Drosophila melanogaster: one gene and its partners. The protein of the gene in region 4 interacts with the protein of the main gene of each other region in a pairwise test. Each region holds a gene or a part of one and is shown on either strand. Other genes may lie near its edges. The genes, in order: Cyt-c-p, Rrp4, Mitofilin and Sap47.

Evidence for each region.
Region 1: the proteins of Sap47 (region 4) and Cyt-c-p interact in a two-hybrid assay, tested with the Drosophila melanogaster proteins (one large-scale study listed by BioGRID).
Region 2: the proteins of Sap47 (region 4) and Rrp4 interact in a two-hybrid assay, tested with the Drosophila melanogaster proteins (one large-scale study listed by BioGRID).
Region 3: the proteins of Sap47 (region 4) and Mitofilin interact in a two-hybrid assay, tested with the Drosophila melanogaster proteins (one large-scale study listed by BioGRID).

The regions. Positions count from the first base shown.
Region 1 is NT_033779.5:16,718,219-16,723,155, forward strand, and holds Cyt-c-p (cytochrome c proximal), read left to right. Parts: upstream 1-1,713; 5' UTR 1,714-1,758; intron 1,759-3,790; 5' UTR 3,791-3,831; coding exon 3,832-4,158; 3' UTR 4,159-4,426; downstream 4,427-4,937. Other genes in the region: Cyt-c-d (cytochrome c distal), read left to right, coding at 917-1,234. UniProt on the Drosophila melanogaster protein: Electron carrier protein. The oxidized form of the cytochrome c heme group can accept an electron from the heme group of the cytochrome c1 subunit of cytochrome reductase.
Region 2 is NT_033778.4:23,554,511-23,558,027, forward strand, and holds Rrp4 (Rrp4), read right to left. Parts: upstream 1,708-3,517; 5' UTR 1,629-1,707; coding exon 1,182-1,628; intron 1,119-1,181; coding exon 669-1,118; 3' UTR 508-668; downstream 1-507. Other genes in the region: ItgaPS5 (integrin alphaPS5 subunit), read left to right, coding at 2,246-2,415, 2,514-3,354, 3,416-3,517.
Region 3 is NT_033777.3:22,019,215-22,025,083, forward strand, and holds Mitofilin (mitofilin), read right to left. Parts: upstream 3,861-5,869; 5' UTR 3,718-3,860; coding exon 3,673-3,717; intron 3,416-3,672; coding exon 3,186-3,415; intron 3,053-3,185; coding exon 2,579-3,052; intron 2,519-2,578; coding exon 2,370-2,518; intron 2,307-2,369; coding exon 1,611-2,306; intron 1,509-1,610; coding exon 1,488-1,508; intron 1,395-1,487; coding exon 1,236-1,394; intron 1,179-1,235; coding exon 890-1,178; intron 824-889; coding exon 646-823; 3' UTR 519-645; downstream 1-518. Other genes in the region: mRpL35 (mitochondrial ribosomal protein L35), read left to right, coding at 4,394-4,418, 4,483-4,994; CG6028 (uncharacterized protein), read right to left, coding at 5,152-5,640, 5,712-5,839. UniProt on the Drosophila melanogaster protein: Component of the MICOS complex, a large protein complex of the mitochondrial inner membrane that plays crucial roles in the maintenance of crista junctions, inner membrane architecture, and formation of contact sites to the outer membrane.
Region 4 is NT_033777.3:15,933,276-15,938,154, reverse strand, and holds the start of Sap47 (Synapse-associated protein 47kD), read right to left. Parts: upstream 3,037-4,879; 5' UTR 2,571-3,036; exon of another isoform or gene 2,325-2,570; 5' UTR 2,030-2,324; coding exon 1,815-2,029; intron 1-1,814. Other genes in the region: blp (black pearl), read right to left, coding at 3,518-3,780, 3,841-4,003; CG5478 (uncharacterized protein), read left to right, coding at 4,469-4,879.

The DNA of each region.
Region 1 (4,937 bases), on a different chromosome or scaffold from region 4:
GTGACATTTACATACGTACGTAATATAAATATATAAATAATATCATTCTCTGAAAAATATCATAATGCACTCTTGTAAATTTAAAACAAATTTAATTTTAAGATAATTGGTTGAGATAAACATAGTTAATATTTTCAATTGATCCTTTAAATTTTAAATTGCAGGTGAATATCATCCCTGTGTGACCGTTGTATGCGGCATGGTTCCATGTCTCTTTCCCGTTATTCATTTCCCTCTGCTTTGTTTTTTTTTTTTTTGGTTTTGTTATGCGGTGGCATCTGTTTTTGCCACAGGAAAATGGTTGAGAGAGGGGAAGGCAGGGGGCGAAAGCGGAGAGTGCGTAAAATGCGTTTTAATTGAAAGGAAATGTTCAAAGCACATGTGCATCTGCTAGTCAACGAATTGGTTGGGAAAGGGGGTGGCAAGCCGAATGTGTCTGCTAATTGAATTACCTTTCGGTTGCTTTTCCCATTAGAAGTGCCGACAAGTTCTCGAGCTGCTTGTTTGCTTTTCATTTAATACCCATTTTGATTTAATTTTCGTTTTTCCTATTTTTCTGACCCAATTTTGTTTTGCTTTCGTGCATTAGCAGCTGTCTCTGTCTATCGCTGTGCAGCCAAGAGAGTGACCAAGAGAAACGCTCTCTCTCTCTCTCTCAGTTGTCCAGGACTTGCACTTTTCAAACGGTTTTTTAGGACACTGAAACAAATTGAATCTGTTTTTCTTTTCTATCAAATTTTTAGTTCTACACTTTTCTTTTTCATGATAGTTTCGGAATCAACCAATTTCTATTTGATCCAAATTAACAAAAAACAAATAACAAAAAATTAAAAAATATAGAAATAAAAGCTGCATAAAAAGTTGAATTCTAAATCATAAATATCATTTTTCCCTATTTGTCTTTCAGGCTTCCAAGATGGGTTCTGGTGATGCAGAGAACGGCAAGAAGATATTTGTGCAGAAGTGCGCCCAGTGCCACACCTACGAAGTGGGCGGCAAACACAAGGTGGGCCCAAATCTTGGCGGGGTCGTGGGTCGCAAGTGTGGCACAGCAGCGGGATACAAGTATACCGATGCCAATATAAAGAAGGGCGTTACCTGGACAGAGGGGAATTTGGACGAGTACCTCAAGGACCCGAAGAAATACATTCCCGGAACAAAGATGGTGTTCGCAGGTCTTAAAAAGGCTGAGGAGCGGGCCGATTTGATTGCCTTCCTCAAGTCAAACAAGTAGAATCGCCTGCGAAACAACAAGATCGGCCACCATGCTATCCAGAAAACTGCGCTTAAAGACTACAAACATATTCAAAAGATGACGTATTTCACTTGGATTTCGAAACTTTGATTGGGAATGGTCGAGCTCAAATACATTTCAAAAAGGTTTACTTTCACTTTAGCCAATTAAAGTTGATAAACCAAAAACCCTCTTCTTAATTCAAGTTGTGTGCGACGCGGGTGGAGGAAAGTGTTGTACCAATCAGCTTTGGTCACAGTTGGTTTTATGGTCCTACTAGCAAAATGTAATAAATTGGAGAAGCTTGTTAAATAATGCAAATTTTCCAGAGGCTTTCCAATATAGTCCCGTTAATAGGGGAAAAAATTACTTATACGCCGTGTGGTGGATAAATACGGGTACAAAAGCTTGCGACATTTTTTAATGCGTGGCCCCCGGTCACTCTGGTCACACTAATTACCTATCGACATAACGCGCGCTCGTCATTCGTGAAAAATCGGCGACGCTCGACGTTTGTGTTCAATGTAAGTAGTGGGTGGAATTTTTGTATTTTCAAGTGACGTAAATATTACCTTGAATAGTTATTGATTATCAAGCCCCAAGTCAGATAAAGATTAGAAACACTTCCGTGTCATTTACGTAACATCCAGCAGCTGTGTTTTGTTCTGAAAATGATTCGCATGCAAATTTAACGTATTCTTTGGGGGATGATTCAGGTTACATAAACGTGTCCTTGTGTGTGTGTGTATAAGTGTGATTTTTTATTAGATATTTAATAGTTTATTTAGCAAATATTAGCAGTGGTGTATTAATAGTAAAAATAGCATCCCAAAGTCACATTGCCATTGAAAAAAGCCCCGGAGAGAGTCGATTACATGAGCAAAGAGAGTGGCGTACCCGATCATCAGCTGTCTCGCTCGCTCAGTGGCAAAAATTAATTCTTGGATTTTTTGTCAATGCTTCAGCTTTGGAGTCTTTAAGCGCGCCACGTGGTTGCTAAGCAGGTTTTGCTTTCTGCGATGTGCAGTTTTCTATAATATAAATAAAAGAGAATTCACCTCTGCGAAAAGGCGGCTTATGTAACATTCGCTGCTCTCAGGAAACTTGGATGTTGGCCCAATTTTCACTCATCTCTTTGTTCTCACCACCTTGCTCACCCACACAAGGAAAAACACAGCTGCCTTTGGCCTGCTTCCAATTTTCCAATTGCACTTTCCCTTCATCTCACGCACACTCACGCACGGCAATTAACTGAAAAATACTCAACAAGGCCAAATCGGATGTTGACATTGTTGTTGCTTTGCCACCTCTCACTGCCAAAGTGCATGATACTCTACACAGAAAGAAGTGAAAAAAAGGTTGATATTAAATGCAAATTATGTGTAAAAGCGCACAAAATCAATAGTCTATATATATTAGGTTTGTTTTTATAGACAAATGCATATAAAATAAAATTAGTTTTCTAGAATTGAAAGAGCTTCAGCTAATCGAATTTCTCTCAGTCTATGTGCGTGATGTGTAGGTGAATTACTCACCGCAACGGTACTTTGCACTCTCAAGTTCAAATTGCTGCATGCAATTTATAATCCGGCAATTAGCAGGATGACCGTAACACAGACCCTGGAATAATAGAATAGTTATGTAAACAACTAACGTTTTTCGTATTATGATGCTTCCTGGAAGTTTTCCGCCTGTTGCTGAGCAGTTCTGACGCAATTAATCGGCGACTGGCAAATATAAGCGAGTGAGACACAAAGAGAGTGTGAGAAGGAGAGAAAGAGTGTGGGGGCAACATGTGACCAGCGTCTGAAGCTTTTTCAAAGTGTGTTTCTGATGACGTTGCGACGCCCTCCACGCGCGTATTAGTGAGAGCAAAGTATGTGGGTTAAAAAGGGGGTGGCCGCAAATGGAAATGCAGACTACGTTAGATAATAATTTCGGGCCTTATCAGAAACAACAGCCGACTAATGCACTTAGCATGAGCAATTTTAATAATTCCGTTTCCGCAGGGAGCTTATCAATTGTTTACATAACGGGGCAAGGGGACAAATATTAATTCACGGTCCATAACTACCTACATTAACCCATTATTTCCCAAGCATGGAAATTTTTGATGATATAAAGACGTTATTATTTTAATACCTTAAAAATATATAATATTATATAAGTAACGTTGGGAAATCAACTGGTTAATAAATTTTAAATTTCGGGTTTATTTATTCAATAATCTTTTGATAATGTATGGCTGAAAGTGAAGCTTTTATCAGTATCTACACAATGGTTCATTGGGGCTAATAATAAATGGTATCAAATATCGTATAACTATTTTTTGCAGTGAAACCAGAATTTCGGACTAAGTACATAAGCAAATGATATAAAATATATATTGTAATCAATTTATCAGAATAGAACAAATTAATTGGTAGCAGTTATGAACTTTGAACCATTTAGTAGCCAGTTTTTTAAGTTTTTCAAACCTAAGATGTAAGATAACAGATATATTGGTTACCCTTGTTTTATGAACCACTCATTAATAACAAACATTTCTTTTTACAGTCGAGTCCGTGTTAACACATTAATTAACCACATAATCCATAATGGGCGTTCCTGCTGGTGATGTTGAGAAGGGAAAGAAGCTGTTCGTGCAGCGCTGCGCCCAGTGCCACACCGTTGAGGCTGGTGGCAAGCACAAGGTTGGACCCAATCTGCATGGTCTGATCGGTCGCAAGACCGGACAGGCGGCCGGATTCGCGTACACGGACGCCAACAAGGCCAAGGGCATCACCTGGAACGAGGACACCCTGTTCGAGTACCTGGAGAACCCCAAGAAGTACATCCCCGGCACCAAGATGATCTTCGCCGGTCTGAAGAAGCCCAACGAGCGCGGCGATCTGATCGCCTACCTGAAGTCGGCGACCAAGTAATGGTGCTGTCCATCAACTTACCCACAACCACTGCAGGATGTCAAACTGTATTATTGTGTTCAGTCACAGTCCGGCACGCAAATGCAGCAGCAGCAACAACTACAACTACAAATCAACATAGTACAGACCTAAAGAACTACAATTATGTTAATTATAAAGTTTAAATAGGACAATTTATTATTTAATTTAAATAAAAAGTGGAATATTTAATTCAAACCCGATGAGAATTGTGACATCCACAAAAAAGTTAAATAATAAAAAAAGAACTAAAAAATGATATAAAATCTGTTTTATGCGAGGACCTGGTTTTTGTAGCTCGCAGGTCAAAAAGAATAAAAAAAGCTTCTTCAGATTTTTGACTCGGGCAACTCAAATTAAAAATAAGAGATACCAATCATATTTATAAAACAATTGTCCTGGCAATTTCTATCAATAGGTATCTGTTAGTCGTCAAACTCGACTGCAGCATACTCTTTGCGTCTGTCAAAAATGTTGTTGGCTGATCTATATAGGCCTTACTCATCTGAGTCGCACAAAGATGACCACAAATCATCCTGGGTTGCTGCAAATTCCTTAGTTCATTGCGTGGAGGTAGACATCACTAAAAACATCCAACAAAGAAAGAGTCGATACGTTACGCAGAAACATCACAATAAGATTGTATTACTGAGAGAGAAAGTAGAAAACTATTAGGGTCGAAATGCTCTCTTAATGCACATTCTATTTGGCCAATCGTTAAACAAGAATACACTGGTATTTTTATATTTTTTGGCTAATTT
Region 2 (3,517 bases), on a different chromosome or scaffold from region 4:
CTTGGCGTCGCTTAGAGATGTGCACTATGCAGATATCGATGTTTCTGTGTGAATTTTGCTAGCGAAACTTTTTGTTTTTATTTTACACAATCAAGTATTTGTCACAAATACAACGTCACACTAATATGGGATGACATAAAAATAAAAAATTTATGCCGAGTCCCTTTATCATCCAGGCAGAATCACTTTTCATTTGCACAAACCGCCAGGGCGTTGCCGGATCGCTAATGTGTGCTGCCACTCGGTGCGCGTCCTGGTAAAATATCGATATTTTAGCTGCTTTTTAACTAAAAGTAATTTTAAGTCGAAACTTTTAACTAAAACTAAAGTGCTATGAAAATGTATGTATTTTTTAAACGCCAATAAAACCTAACTTATATGCAATAAATGTTTTCTTTTTTAAAGAGTTTGTGTATTTTAGAAAACCTGACTTTTTATTAGGAAACCAACATTTATCATACAAATTCAGGAAATATCAAATGAACATTTTTATTAAACAGAAAGCTTGCGATAGTTTTCAGTGTATTTAAGATTTTAGCCCACTGATGCAATTTTGAAATCCACCAATTTCGAACCCATTGAAATGTTAATTTTTCATTTGACGGTAGAAAATACATTAACCTCTATTTAAGCTACTTGTGTATAAAATATATGTATATGCATATATACTACTCGTCCGCGTCCCTCAGACGAGCCTGCGTCTGCTGGCCGATGTCGTAGATGGCGTTCTGCTGGAGCAGCTCGTGGGCCTCGTAGCGCAGGGACTCCTCGTAGGCGTACTGGATGCTGGTGTCGTAAATCATCAGCTTGCACTTGGCCAGCGCGAGGATGGAGTTCCTCAGCCGGGCGATCACCTCCCGATCCGCGCGCGGCACATGCTCGTTCAGGTTCTGAGCGAATCCTCCCTCGCCGCCTTCCTCCTCCTGGCCCTTGGTCGGCGATATCCAGATGTAGCCATTGTTGCCCAGGATCACGGAGGCGCCGCAGGGCAGGTTGTGGAAGTGCATCTTGCGGCGCTTGACGAGAGCGGGGAACACCTTGACCAGGATGCCCTGCGATAGTTTTCCATACTTCAAACTGCGCGTGTACAGCGAAAGGGAGCCCTCCTCAAAGATGTTCTGGTGGCCAGAGAAGAAAGATTATATAGTTACTCCAGTACCAGCAAGTTAGGAAGTACCCACCTGGACCTCGGCAGAGATGAGATCGCCCTCGTCCAAGTATCGTCGCATCATCTGCTCGTCCTCCGCCGATCTCCGTCGTAGTTCTCCGCCTGGCAGATTCACCGAGGAGAGCAGTAGGATGGAGTCGAGCCGGGAATTGGTGTCCACTCGCCAGCGCTTCTGTTGCACCTCGCTGACGCGGGCCACCACCACGTCCCCGATCTCGCCCACATAGCGACTCTTAAGCGGGCGCACCGAGATCAGCTTGTTGACCTTCTGGATCACCCCGGCCACCGAGGACTTGATGTTCTCGTCCTCGACGAAGGTTCCGTGGCCGCGCATGAATCCCGCCTCCGGCATCAGCACTTCCCCCGGCGTATACACCCTCGGCTGTTCCTCCGTCTGCGCGGCCAGGTCGCGCCAGTCCACCCGGTCCAGGGCCAGATCTATCGCCGCGTTGGTGGACATCTCAGTTTGGCCAAAGCGAGGTAAACAAAAATTTAATTTTGAGCGAGGCAAAAAGAGCAACAGCTGGCAAAACACGCGCCACGCGGAACCGGTTCGGGTTCGGGGTTCGTTGCTGGTTCCGGTTCAAGTTCCATTTCTTCGCCGCAACTACAGTGCCTATCGGTTGCGGCGAATTGCAATTTTAAAAACCAATTTTGTTGAAATTCGAAAGTAAATGTAACGAAGACTTGCAAATTCTATTGCCTAACAAAAAATACATACAATCGAAATAAAATAAAAGTAAAGGGGATTAAAAAAAACTGTTAAAATCACGTTTTTAGTTTCCTTAGTTTTATGAAATAACATTTATTGTTAATGTGTATAATATATATGTCGAAAGCATTTTTGAGTTTGTCCTTAGATAAGCAGCATACAAATTATAATTTTAAAGAACAGCTTTGAAATAATTGCTCTGGCATTTCAATGATAAGTTATCTGTCTTCTTTAAGTTAGCTAAGCTCCATTAGACTTCTGAAACATTCATCATCTTGTTTCAGTTGGATTGCCTCAGAGCTCGCAGGCACATTCCCATCCGGAATAATATTTTCTAGAATAAGACTAAAAACTTGAAGTAGAAAATGCATCGGCTTCTGTTCCTAATTTTTTTGGCTCTCAAATACCAGAGCAATGCAATGAACTTTTCGCCATTGCCGAATCGAGTGATAGATGCTCCAAAGCACCTAAAAACCCGAATGATCCAAGTGCGAAGCTCCTACTTTGGATACTCGCTCGTCATCCGTCCAACCAGGTGAGATCTTATCCTAGGGAAGCTATCGATCCCAGACTGTGATTGCACTTGAAATTCCATGAAGTTCCTTCTAACAAAAAACTTCGTGATCAATGCAGCATCTTCGTGGGAGCTCCGCGTGCTCAGTCCACCTTGGAATCGCAAGGCAGCATTAATGAGACTGGAGCTGTCTACAGATGCCCCCTGGCCAGTGGATCCTGCTCGCATTACGTCCTAAACGACAAGCTAAATAAGCAATTCCAGTGGCTGGGCGGCTCTATGGATGGCGGCACCAAGGATACGGACAAGCTGCTCGTGTGCGCACCTCGGTTTTTCGTGCCGAAGAACAAGAACTATGGCCAAATGAGAGGAATTTGCTACTGGGTTCGGGACACAGTGGCAGACACTCCTCCGCTGAGCGACGTGAGGACTATCAGTCTAATCCCTTCGCAAGCAGAAGAACATTTCATGCTGGAGCTGGGGCTCAGTGCCCATGTGACGGACGACAACTCGGGGTTCCTGATCGGCGCCCCGGGAGTCCGTAGCTGGAAGGGATCGGTGTTAGTGCACCGCGGAGAAGATTTGGCTGCCCAGGGAAGCTATGCAGTCAAGATGCTCGATTCGTGGGATTGGGTAAAGAATCACTTCACATACGTCGGTTACGCCCTGAGCTCCGGATACTTTAGCAGCAATAACCGGACCAGTCTGCTCTACGTGACCACCGCGCCGAGCTCTGTCCTGAATACCGGCAAGGCATACATTTTCGACGTTGTGGGAGAGATAGTCCGTAAGCTGCATGTGTTTCACGGCGAGCAGTTGGGCGAGTACTTCGGTTACTCCGTGGTGGCGGAAGATCTCAATGGCGATGGACTAACGGATGTGGTCGTATCCGCGCCACTCAACGCTCTAGGGGATTCCTATGACGTGGGTGCCATATACGTGTTCATCAACAAGGGATTGGTGAGTTAACCGAATTCCCTATAATCGCCATTAGTCAGACTGCTTCTATTTCCCGCTTCAGTTTAAATTCGAGAAAAAGATAATTCGCTTGCCATTGAGCAGTGGTGCCCGTTTCGGAAGTTCGCTTTCTAAAGTGGGCGATATCAACCACGACGGATACAAC
Region 3 (5,869 bases), 6.1 Mb from region 4:
TAGCCGCCCACGAAACTGGCGCGTCCAGTGCTGGCTAACGACCAACTATCGCGATTTTGGCGTTCGAAAATTAGTAACGAACATATACGATTATTTAAGGAATAAATTTGGCGGCAACCGCATAGTAACCTGTTTTTGAATACATTTGCCTTGCCTACCATGCTTTCTTTTCAGAACAGAGAAATTAAATTTAGCCAATGCATTTTATTTGAATTTTGACATTCAGCATACTTTTTAGTCAACTTATTTATTATATTAATTTTTTTCGCTAAATTAAACAACAAGTGGATGTTCTTTATGTTTATTTATGGCCTAATCACATTGTTCTTCAGAAACACAAAGCTTGCCAATTTCAGCTTTAGTAATATATCATATTCCATTCATGCCTTGGTATCGAATTTTTTACAAATCTTCCCAGAGTATTTATGTTTTGGATTTTATAATGATGGTTTCTATGTTTAATTTGTATAATTGAAGCTAAACAAAATGTTACAAATATATGTATATAAGTGCTATTTCGTTTCAACTGTGATCGCTAATTGGACAAATTACATATTGTTGGTAATCGTACCATCTTCTCCTGGACTAATAACAAATAGTAAGTGTATCATCTTGTTTCTGAAGGAAGGGGACACGGGACGTAGTCTACAAATACAATAGTCCGCTGGCAGCGGCGTGAGCCATCAAGGTGTTGGCCGCCTGCTGAGTCTCCAGCATGAGGCGAGCCTCCTTCATCCACTCGCCGGCAATCTTGCGCGATGCACCCTGCAGCAGATTCATGTACTTGAGCGCCTGCAGAAAGTCGCTGCGATCCACATGGTACCTGTGAAACATAATATATATAATATATATTATATAACTCTAGTGATAGATGAATCAATCGCCTCACCTGGCCCTGTTTAGGATATCGTAGGTGTCCAGTTTGCTATAGTCGAAGGGTTTGTTCTCGAGTTCGTCCTTGGATATGGGATTATCGGGTCGCAAGATGAACAGCGATTGCAGATAGGACAGGAAGTAGATGGGCAGGCCGGCTCCTTCCTCGGGCACCAAAGCCAATCGTCGCGCCACGCGCTCCACATTCAGGAAACGCTCGCGCAATGCATCTTCTGGATAGACACCGCGCTCCTGAGCCTCCTTCGGGACGCTTTCCAGCACAGCGGCCACCAGGTCGTCACCCTCTGTAAGCATATGCATTTAGCAACTGAAATCGAAATGTGGGAAACGTTTCAACTTACTAGCCACCTTGGCAATGGCATTGATCTCGTTCTTTAACGGGCGCAACCTATCCTTATAGTGCACGCCAGGAGTGGCAGCGCGCACGGAGGCCCACAGAGCTTGGCAGGCGGCCCAAAGGGCCTGCGCCTGATTGGCAGTACGCTCTGCATCCGCACGCTCTGCAAAAATGTTGCATATAATGTCAATAAACATTTTGATTAAACCAAGAATAAGTTGGTATAAGTACTACCCTTCATATAGGGTGAATATACCTTGAAACTCATCCTCTATCTCTAATATAGCAGCATGTTTTGAAAAGGTTTGAAAACCATTATATATCTAGCCACGCTACACTAGCTACATTCAACCGATATCGTTTAAAACGTATAACTTACCTGCCAGAGCCGCGTCCATTCCGCGCAGCTTGCCGAGCATCCCGGCCAATTGTAACTTATAGTTGGCCTTTTCGGTCGCCAGCTTATCCTCAAGTTCACGCTTAAAGCTTCGCGTCAGATCGGTCTCCCGCTGCGCCACGATGTCCTTTATATGATCGGCGTGGGCCTCTGCTTGCTTTTTGAGCTGCAAGCGCAGCAGCTTATCAGACTCGGCGTGGATGTGGAAGATTTTCTTTTGATTTTCCACGGCCAGTTTGCGCCGCTCGGCCTCCAAATGGTATTCCAGTTGGGCGCGCAAAGCCTCCGAATCGTTGTCACCGCGAACCGAGTCAATAGCTCTCTTCAGGCGCAGCTCACCATCGGTTTGCAAGCGCTGCAGCTCCTTCTGGTAGGCCAGGACATGGGTGTAGGCGTGCAGGATGAACAAGTCTAGGTCCTCCTTTGACAGATTAAGTTTCTTATCCGCCAAACTGAGGCCGGGGAAGATAGACTCGATCTCGTCAATGAAGTAGTTTCGCGCCTTCTCCACATTCCGCCAGTACTTGTCTGACACGCTGGCCGTGTCCTTGTGCCGGTAAAGCTCGTCCTTTACGTTGCCAATGTGGTCCACAAGCTTCTTGATCTTGTCGCGCACTGCCTCTACTTTCTTTGCGTTTTGGGCCGTTGCCGCAGCACTCAGGGCGATCTCGCAGGCGACTGCAGTTGATAGAAGGGAATGTTACTGAAATTTGGAATCTATTTAACAAACAATGGACTTACCAATCTTCTCCTGAGCCTCACGGGCAGCTCGCTCTGCCGTAGCCACTGCCGTATCACGGGCACTTGCTCGATTTTTCAGCGTGGTCCAAAGAGAGTTCTCTCCATTCTCTACGGCCTTGTCTACAACCTTACGGACATCGTCATTAAAGCTGAACGATATTTGATTAAATTTAAAATCACGCAACGAATAGTTAACGAGAATTGCTCACCCTTTCAAAACGCCAATAGCGACGTTGTACTCCTTGACGGCCAGTTGAGCAGACAGCTCGATGGCTTTCTCCAGCTCAACAACATCGCGGGGCAGCGGATTATCCTTAGGCTTGGCAGCGGGCGCAGGCGCTGCTGCTGCTGCTGGCTTCGACACTGGCTTCGCTTCAGTCTTGCTGACTTCGCTTGGTTTTGAGGGTCTCTTTTCCTCAGCAGGAGTGGCCTTCACGGGCTCCACTTTGGACTTCTTGGACTTGTCATCGCCGCTGCCGCCGCCAAACAGGCCCGTCACCTTAGATGTAACGGAGTCCACCGTGGACGTCACTGTCTCGATGCCAGACTTGACCTTATCGATCTGATCGTTGACGTTCTTGGTGATGCCCTTGAATGGCGGTTCCTCCTGCAGAGCCACCTTGATGACGGATCCTGCGCCGGGTACATTCTTCTCCACCAATTTGCGGAAGTCGTCGTCGTATCTGGAAAAGGATTTCTACATTATTCGATGGTTCATTTAAGCATTTCAGGTGCAATAAAATGTGTACGAATTTTTGTTGATCTACAGGTGGACTGCCTATCCTTATCTTAAACCTCTATTGTGGCTCTATTTACTTGGCGTAGGTGATGACACCGCCGACAGCTGCCAGTGGTGAGACGAAGAGGACCACTTTGCCGAAGCCAGCTTCGCGCATATGCGGTGGCAGGCTCTGGTATCCTTGATATCCTTGATCGCCTTGCTGTCCCTGCTCCTCCTGCTGCCGCCTGCCCTGTTCCCGGCCGCCACTTCCGCTGCTGCTTCCGCCGAATTGCCTGTTGTTTGCGGTCGTCTGCTGCAGCGTACGCTGTTGCAATGAAAGGTAATACATTTAGGACCATCACATTTAAGGAAATTGGCAAGCCCGTTGATACCCCCGCGCCCTTGGTCAACTGGAATTTTGGAGCTTTTCGCCCAATTCCTGGGCTTGGTAGATGACATAACCAGCGCCTCTTGTTGTATTTTCGCCAACCGCTTGTTTGTGGGCGCGCGGGGGTGTGGGGCAACGTGACGATCGATTTTCACGTTATCAAATAGCTAGAAATGAATGGGTCAAAAATTCACCTGCAGGGCGCACTTGCACTGATCTCGCACCGCTAGCCGATACATGGTGTTGATTTTGCTGTGATCCTGCTCTGCTCGTGCTCCTGCTCCTTCGGCTACCGTAAATTTCAAGTCCCGGCGGCGTGAATTAAATATTGCCCAATTCGTTCGAAGCTGGCTCGACTGCGTCAGCGCTGGTGGGTGAATGGCTGGCCAGTGCTGCTGCTTCCTCTTCCATTCCCCACACTCCCACGCACACGCACACGAGTCCTGCGTGCTGCTCGTCGTCCTTTTCGTTTCGCTTGCCCGCGCCACTCGAATTTGATCACTCAATTTTGGTTTGTGTTTTGATGGAAAAAGTGTCGGCAACATATACGCATGTACTCGATAGGCCAGTCAAAATACATTTGATTTGGAGATGGGCGCATAAGTTTAAGCAACAATTTTTATAACAAGTTTTAAATTGTCAGAATTGTCAGTGTTCTACAAATGGATTACATGGTTAAGGGATCCTTTTGCCTTAATTGTTATCAACGAAAAATTGAACTTGATCCATTCCTTGGGTGAATCCCAAAACATTTGCGATAGTTCTTATGATGACCGGTTCCCATCTCCAATAGCAAGCTAATCTATGTTTGTTCGCTGTGAATGGCACACAGCTGACTGTTACGCGATTCGATAAGAAGAAGAGCACCTGCGTTTTGTATGGAATTATAGGTTTATCTTTGTCGTTTTAAGTGAAATGCTAAGAACTTTTGTGACAAGCGGTAAGTTGAAGTCAGCTAATAGGGCTTACAAGTTTACGTTACTTTAATTGTTCTTAACTTTCAGCGCTGCGAAGCGTTTGCCGCCAGTCGCCGGCTGCATCTTCGTTGGTTCCTCTGGTCCAGCGGACACAACGTGCCACTTTGATGACTCTATCCCGTCCGTGCCTGTTGCCCACGCCATCACTGGCATCTCCTGCTCATCACCAGCTCCTGCAGCTGCCGGGTGTGCTAGCAGCCACAGGAACACCATCAAACACACGCAACGTGACCAAATTCTCGCTGGTGAAGGGTAAACGAAAGACCGTCAAGGCGGTACTGAAACGTTTTAAGCGCCTGGACTGGGGCGCCTGGATACGCACCCATTCCGGTCGCCAAAAGAAGCTCTTCAAGAAATCCGCAGCTTTACGACGCCGCCTCAAGCAGCACGTCTTCACCAATGCCACGCAGAGCTGGCTGCTGGACAAGATGGTCACCAGCTATTGGCGGCGCCCAAAGCATTTCATCAACGATCCCTATAAGCCCTATCACAGCCGCAACGAGTACTACGCCACACAGTCAAAGACCTTTAAGGTGTGACCTGGCTAATCAAAGATACTACATACTTGAATTAAACAAAACCAAAATATCTGATTATAGTTTATCTATTGAAAACTACAAAATCATCTATTAAATGCCATTGTTTCACTAATAACACAAACTTTACAAACACAACAAGCCAAATGAGTTGACAATCTTAGGGAGCCACAATCTTGTTGCACAGCTTGCCCAATCCAACAATCTCCGACTGCACGACATCACCGGGCTGAAGGAATTCCGGCGGAGTGCGATGCATGCCCACGCCCTTGGGCGTTCCGGTGACTATGATGTCGCCGGGCAGCAGGGTAATGGTCTGCGACAGACGATTGATCACATCGTCCAGCTTGAAGATCAAGTTGCCGGTATTGCCGTTCTGCTTCTCCACGCCGTTGACCCAGGTTTTCAGATTCAAGTTGTAAACATCCGGCACCAGACTCTTGTGCACCACAGCCGGTCCCAGCGGCAGAAAAGTGTCCATCGACTTGCCCATAAGGAACTGACCACCGTTGCGTTCCTTCTGCCAGTCGCGGGCGGAGATATCCTGGGCCACCGAATACCCGAAGACATAGTCCATGGCCTGCGATTTGGGCACCTGGCGGGCGACCTTGCCAATGACACAGACCAGCTCAACCTCCCAATCGATTTTCTGTGGAATTTTTTTTTGGTCGGTTGGTTATCTCGATGAGCCTATCTCTTGTTATCTCTTGCTTCACTTACGCTGCTGGCCGCATGAGCGATGACATTATCTTGAGGACCCACCAGGGCATTGTTAAACTTGCTAAAGAACAATGGTTCCTTGGGGGTCGGCTTGTTCTGCTCATCGCAGTGGTCCTGGTAGTTCAGACCTGCAAGCAGATCGAGAATACGTCATTTTG
Region 4 (4,879 bases):
ACAGTGGCAGGGGCACAGGCACAGGCGTAAAGACAGGCAACAAGCCAGCACACACGTTTTCTGAATGCACAATTATTAAATAGGCTGACAAAAGGACAACAAGGGGGCGGGTCGGGTCGTGGAGTAGCAAATCCTCTAGAGCGGGCGCCATCGTCGTTTCTACTCGTTGTGGCCTCATCACATGTGCACATTTCGCAGAGAGAAGCATAGAGCGTCCTTTCGCACGGCTCTCTCGTATCGATCCGCAAAACGAGCAAAAGTCAACTGGAAACTGGAAAGCAACCACCAAAAGGAACACATCCTGCCTCCGAGCCAGCCCCCTTCCGAATGCTCCACCTCTACCCATCGGCATTGGTGACAGTATTTCGCACACAGCAAGATGGTCAAAAAACCAGAGTGTACGAGTGGTGAAAGCGGACGAGGGCGCCGCCAGCTCGAATGACTCAACATTTTGTGGTTATGCAGGAGCCACGTGCAAATTATTTTCATTGGAACGTACAGAAAACAAAAAGAGTAAAATAAAGACGAGATACAAAGAACAACACGAAGGTGGTCCAACTCGTCAATGTCAATTGATAGTGAAAGGACTTGCGGGGCAGAAGGAGAACGGCGGCCCGTTGAAAAGGCGTGACACATCACGGACTTGGGTTTCAAAGACAACAACGACGACGACGACCACGACGACACCAGCTGTTGGCAGCTGGTTGGAAAAACGTGCCCCGGATTGACATCCTGGCATCCAGCGCACACTCGCACAATTAAATATTAATGAGCTGAATTAAGTGAAAAACAACGTTAGTTGACTTTGGCTGATCTTCCGGATTAGCCAGCAACTTGTGGCATTAACGGGCCATCACAGCGGTCTTAACTTGTCCAAAATATCAGCCGAATAATTGGAATTTACTTTCATTTATTTCGAGGAAATGAAGGCTGAAACGGCAGTAACACTCTTGTGGGATAAAGCAAACTCAACATAACTAGGGTGTGGAATGCCTGCTAGAGATTGATGAAGTACCCAGAAGAAGCGCGAAGGACGAGGTCAAATGATACGGCGAGGTCGAAAAGAAATAGGGCAGTCCTATCCACTCAGTTTGAGGGAAGTAAAAGAAAAGAAACCAGTCGGAAGTTAGTAAGCATGGAGTTGCTCTTTTCCGTTTGCTGACAGTTCAAGGAATTTCCTTTGGTCAACAAAATTAGGGCAAATAAATTCGCTTGGAGAATTACACTACTGACAGTCTACCATACTAAGTAATACATATATGCCAAGCTGAGAGACTCTTTTGAAGACTGATTTATGCTATATTCTATAACGATTCAAATATTTCAACAATTAAAAAGAAATACAGTCTTCACAATGCGATTTGCCATTTCAAGAATAATCAAACGAAATCCATTTAAACCACAAATTGGCCTGGCATTTTCAAATCGAAATTGCTAGCCAGAAATGTTCAGGAAAGTCAGTCGACTAGCTTCGCAAGGAAGCGGAGCCATATAGGATATATATGGGAGTGAAATTATCGGGCATTTGGATTCCAGTTTAAGCAATTATGTTCAGTCACGTGAGAGCGTGCGGAATGCAACGTAAAATGCAGGATAAGCGGAGTGTGTCAAAACAATGATGAATGTACCGTAAAGGAGCGATTGCTGGAGGGTAGGAACTCCACGGAGCGAAATGTTAAAAGGTACAAATAGCAAGGTCACATTGGCACGCCATGTCAGGTCGACTGAAGTCTGGATTTCGGAGTCACAGTCACGGAAGACTAGAAAGATGGGCCGAAGGATTACCCAGCGCGCATTGTTCGATTCACACTTACCTTTTGCCAGCTTCCTCGCCCTCGAGTCCTTCGCCACCGGCTGCGGCAGCTGCCTCCGGGTCCACGGCGGAGGAGGCCGTGGCCTCCACGGATGTGGATGCTGCTGGAGCGGCTGCGGGCGCATCTCCTGTGGGCGCGGGCACATCCTCGTCGCCAGCGCCTCCTTTAACGGCGCCCACCAGCGAGGTGAATTGATTTGTTAGGCCCGAAAACATGTTGGCTCCTGCTGTTTCTCTCAAGGATTGGTGGTGTGTCCTGACCAGGAAGACGTGCGCACGTTCAACGCTCTCTAGGCTCTCTTGTTCTCGCGGTTCTCACGGTTTTCCACTGCTCTCCCGCTCCTGGCTCTCCAACTTTTACTACACTGGGCAGAGGCAGATAGAATGTCCTGTAATGGGTTTTCCTTTCTTTCAGTGTTTCGTTCGCACCACAGAAGTTTCACTTTCAACGCTCGGCGTTATGTAAATTCTCGCATTTAACTTGAAATTTGAATTTTTCACGCTGCAATTGCTTTGTCCAGATGGCCGAGATGGAAGGTAAAAGAATGGTTTTTATTGCTACTTGGCGAGGCGGTGGGGAAAATCAATAAAACGGACTGGGAATTGCGTGGCTATTGGGCACAATTACACGATAAATACTCTGCGATTCGATCGATTTTCCACATGGACACACGCCACGCTCGAGTTTCTTTTCTTTTTGGGTTTATAGCTATTCGCTATTTGCACAACTAAAGTAATTTGAGTCGCAGCCAATTACCACTTGAGCTTTTCTCTGCCAACTGGATTTTGCTTTTCTTATTTTTTTTCTCTTTGGTTTTCCGTTCGCTGCCAGGAGACTTTTGGATTTTCGGCTGCCCACTTCGAAGGTCCTCTGAAAACTGACGGAGCAGCGGAATGTCGATGTCTCAAATACCGAGCTGGAGTGTCGTCTTCGCTCTCTTGGACTCGGGGATTGGGGATTCTCAGATTCGGATTCTCGTATGCGTACGTTCGCTTTCTCCCTGGAAAAGTGGAGTCCACCCCCTCCTCCGCGTTGCTGGGGCGATGGTATTGCGATTTTCGTGGGTGGGATATTTGTGCGCTGGAATGCGCATGTGTGCTTTGGCGTCGTTTTGCTGCTGCTGGCGCAATTAGACAAACAATTGACACGTCTATGGAAACAACAACTGCGCACCAGTAATGATTATTTTCGGTTTGTTCTCGGCCAGTGCTGCCCATCGAACAGCTGACTGCTGTCGGTCGATAGCTCTACCGATATGTTCGCGCATCTCTGGCTTCTGCAACAGCTGATTTTAAAATTTCCAAGTTCCTATTGCGAAAGTTTGGAAGCCCATTGCAGCATTAGTTTATTTACATCAGCATAATTTTAGCTATAGCTAGATCAAGACATGGAACTTTGTTGATACTTAAAATATTTTTATTTTCAAACCCCAAGAAGCGTGATCTTAAAATCGATCCGATTCTAGTTACCTGGCCTGAGAGTAAAATATTTATACCTAACCGCCTGAGCTAATCCGTGTTAGTTTACAAGAATTCCATTACATTTGTGTTCCTGGAAAGTCGAGCTCTTCTCAGAAAGTGTTTACACTTGTCTTCATGTTCGTAAATCTCTATTTACAGCAACAGACTTTCATTTTTTGTACTTAACACGTAGTTTTTAAATCAATTATCAGCTAATTAGTTCGATTGGGACAACAAGGATACTCAGCGTCGCTGCCGCGATCTGCTCTGAGACTCCTCCGCCGTATCTTGCGCTGCTTCCGTATTTGACGACCTCGGCTGCTCATGGGCCTTAATCTCATGGTCCAGCCGCTCTTTCGCCCGGAAAACCTTTGACTGGATATAGAAGGAGCCGCCTTTGGAGCGTTCGTTGACTTGAAACAGATGCTCGTAGTTCTTGGTGATAGCGTCCACGTTTTTGGGGTCATCTATATTCAGGATCTGCTTGGCTTCCTCCAGCGTCATGCCTGCATTGATAAGTAGGTGTAAATAGTGAAATAGATAGCATGACTGTGTCCAAGACTCACCTGTGCGCAGGTTGGACTCGGCGCTCTTGTCGCCCTGCTTGCCACCACCCGCCCGTCGTGCTGCTTCCTGAGATGCGGCGATCTCCTGGCGCAGCGCCTTGGTAAAGGCTCTTCCCACTGCCTGGGCGCCCAACACGATGATCTGGGCGATATACTTGGCCATGACGGTTTCTTGTATTCCTTGGATTCGTACGTCAAAACACCGGCATTCTATGTGTACAGCTTAATTTTGGGTCTCAGAAAACGTGTCGCTTTAATTACGCAACACCGTAGTGACCCTCCGTGTTCCAATTGTACTATTTAAAAGGCGTCCTTCTAAAAAAATGCATACGTAACTTTTAACACTTAATTTCGAATGTGATTTATAATTGTATTGAGCTACCAGGTAAATTTTAGCTTTTACTCCAGATATTTACTAACGAGCAGGCGGCGAAAAGCAGGTGAAACAGCTGATTGGAGATGGTACACGGCTTTCATAATTAGCTATCGATATATATAATAGCTATATCATCGAGAATCGAAATATTTTTAAAACCAATTATTTAAATATTTTTACCACGACTACTTTGTCATCGATAGCATTTGTCAGTTATCGTTTTTAAAAATTCGAAATTCCCTAGTTAAGCCAATGATTCAGGAACCGAACTGGAAAAAGGACTACGACCGTCTGGTCCGCGAGCATTTGAATGATCAGAATCAGACGAAGTCGCTACAACGACAAATACGGCATTTTCGCTCAAAGCGCGTACGACTCCAGAATGAAATCGAGGCGGAGAGCAGGAGCATGGACGTTTGGGTAAAGATGATGGAGAACTTGCACCGCGGAGTGGAGCGCTTTCAGAAGCACCACCACCTGCTCACGCCCAAAAAGCGCAAGCAGCTGCGCCGCATAATGCGAAAGCTGCCCTTGAGCAGTTTGGATGAGCAGGTGCGACTGATGGAGGTGTCGGAGCGGTTGGTGCCCAAGCCGTGCAAGGAGACTCCTGAACCACCGAAGGGCAACGAACGCCAGTTCATCAAGTACTCAGTTCCGCATCAG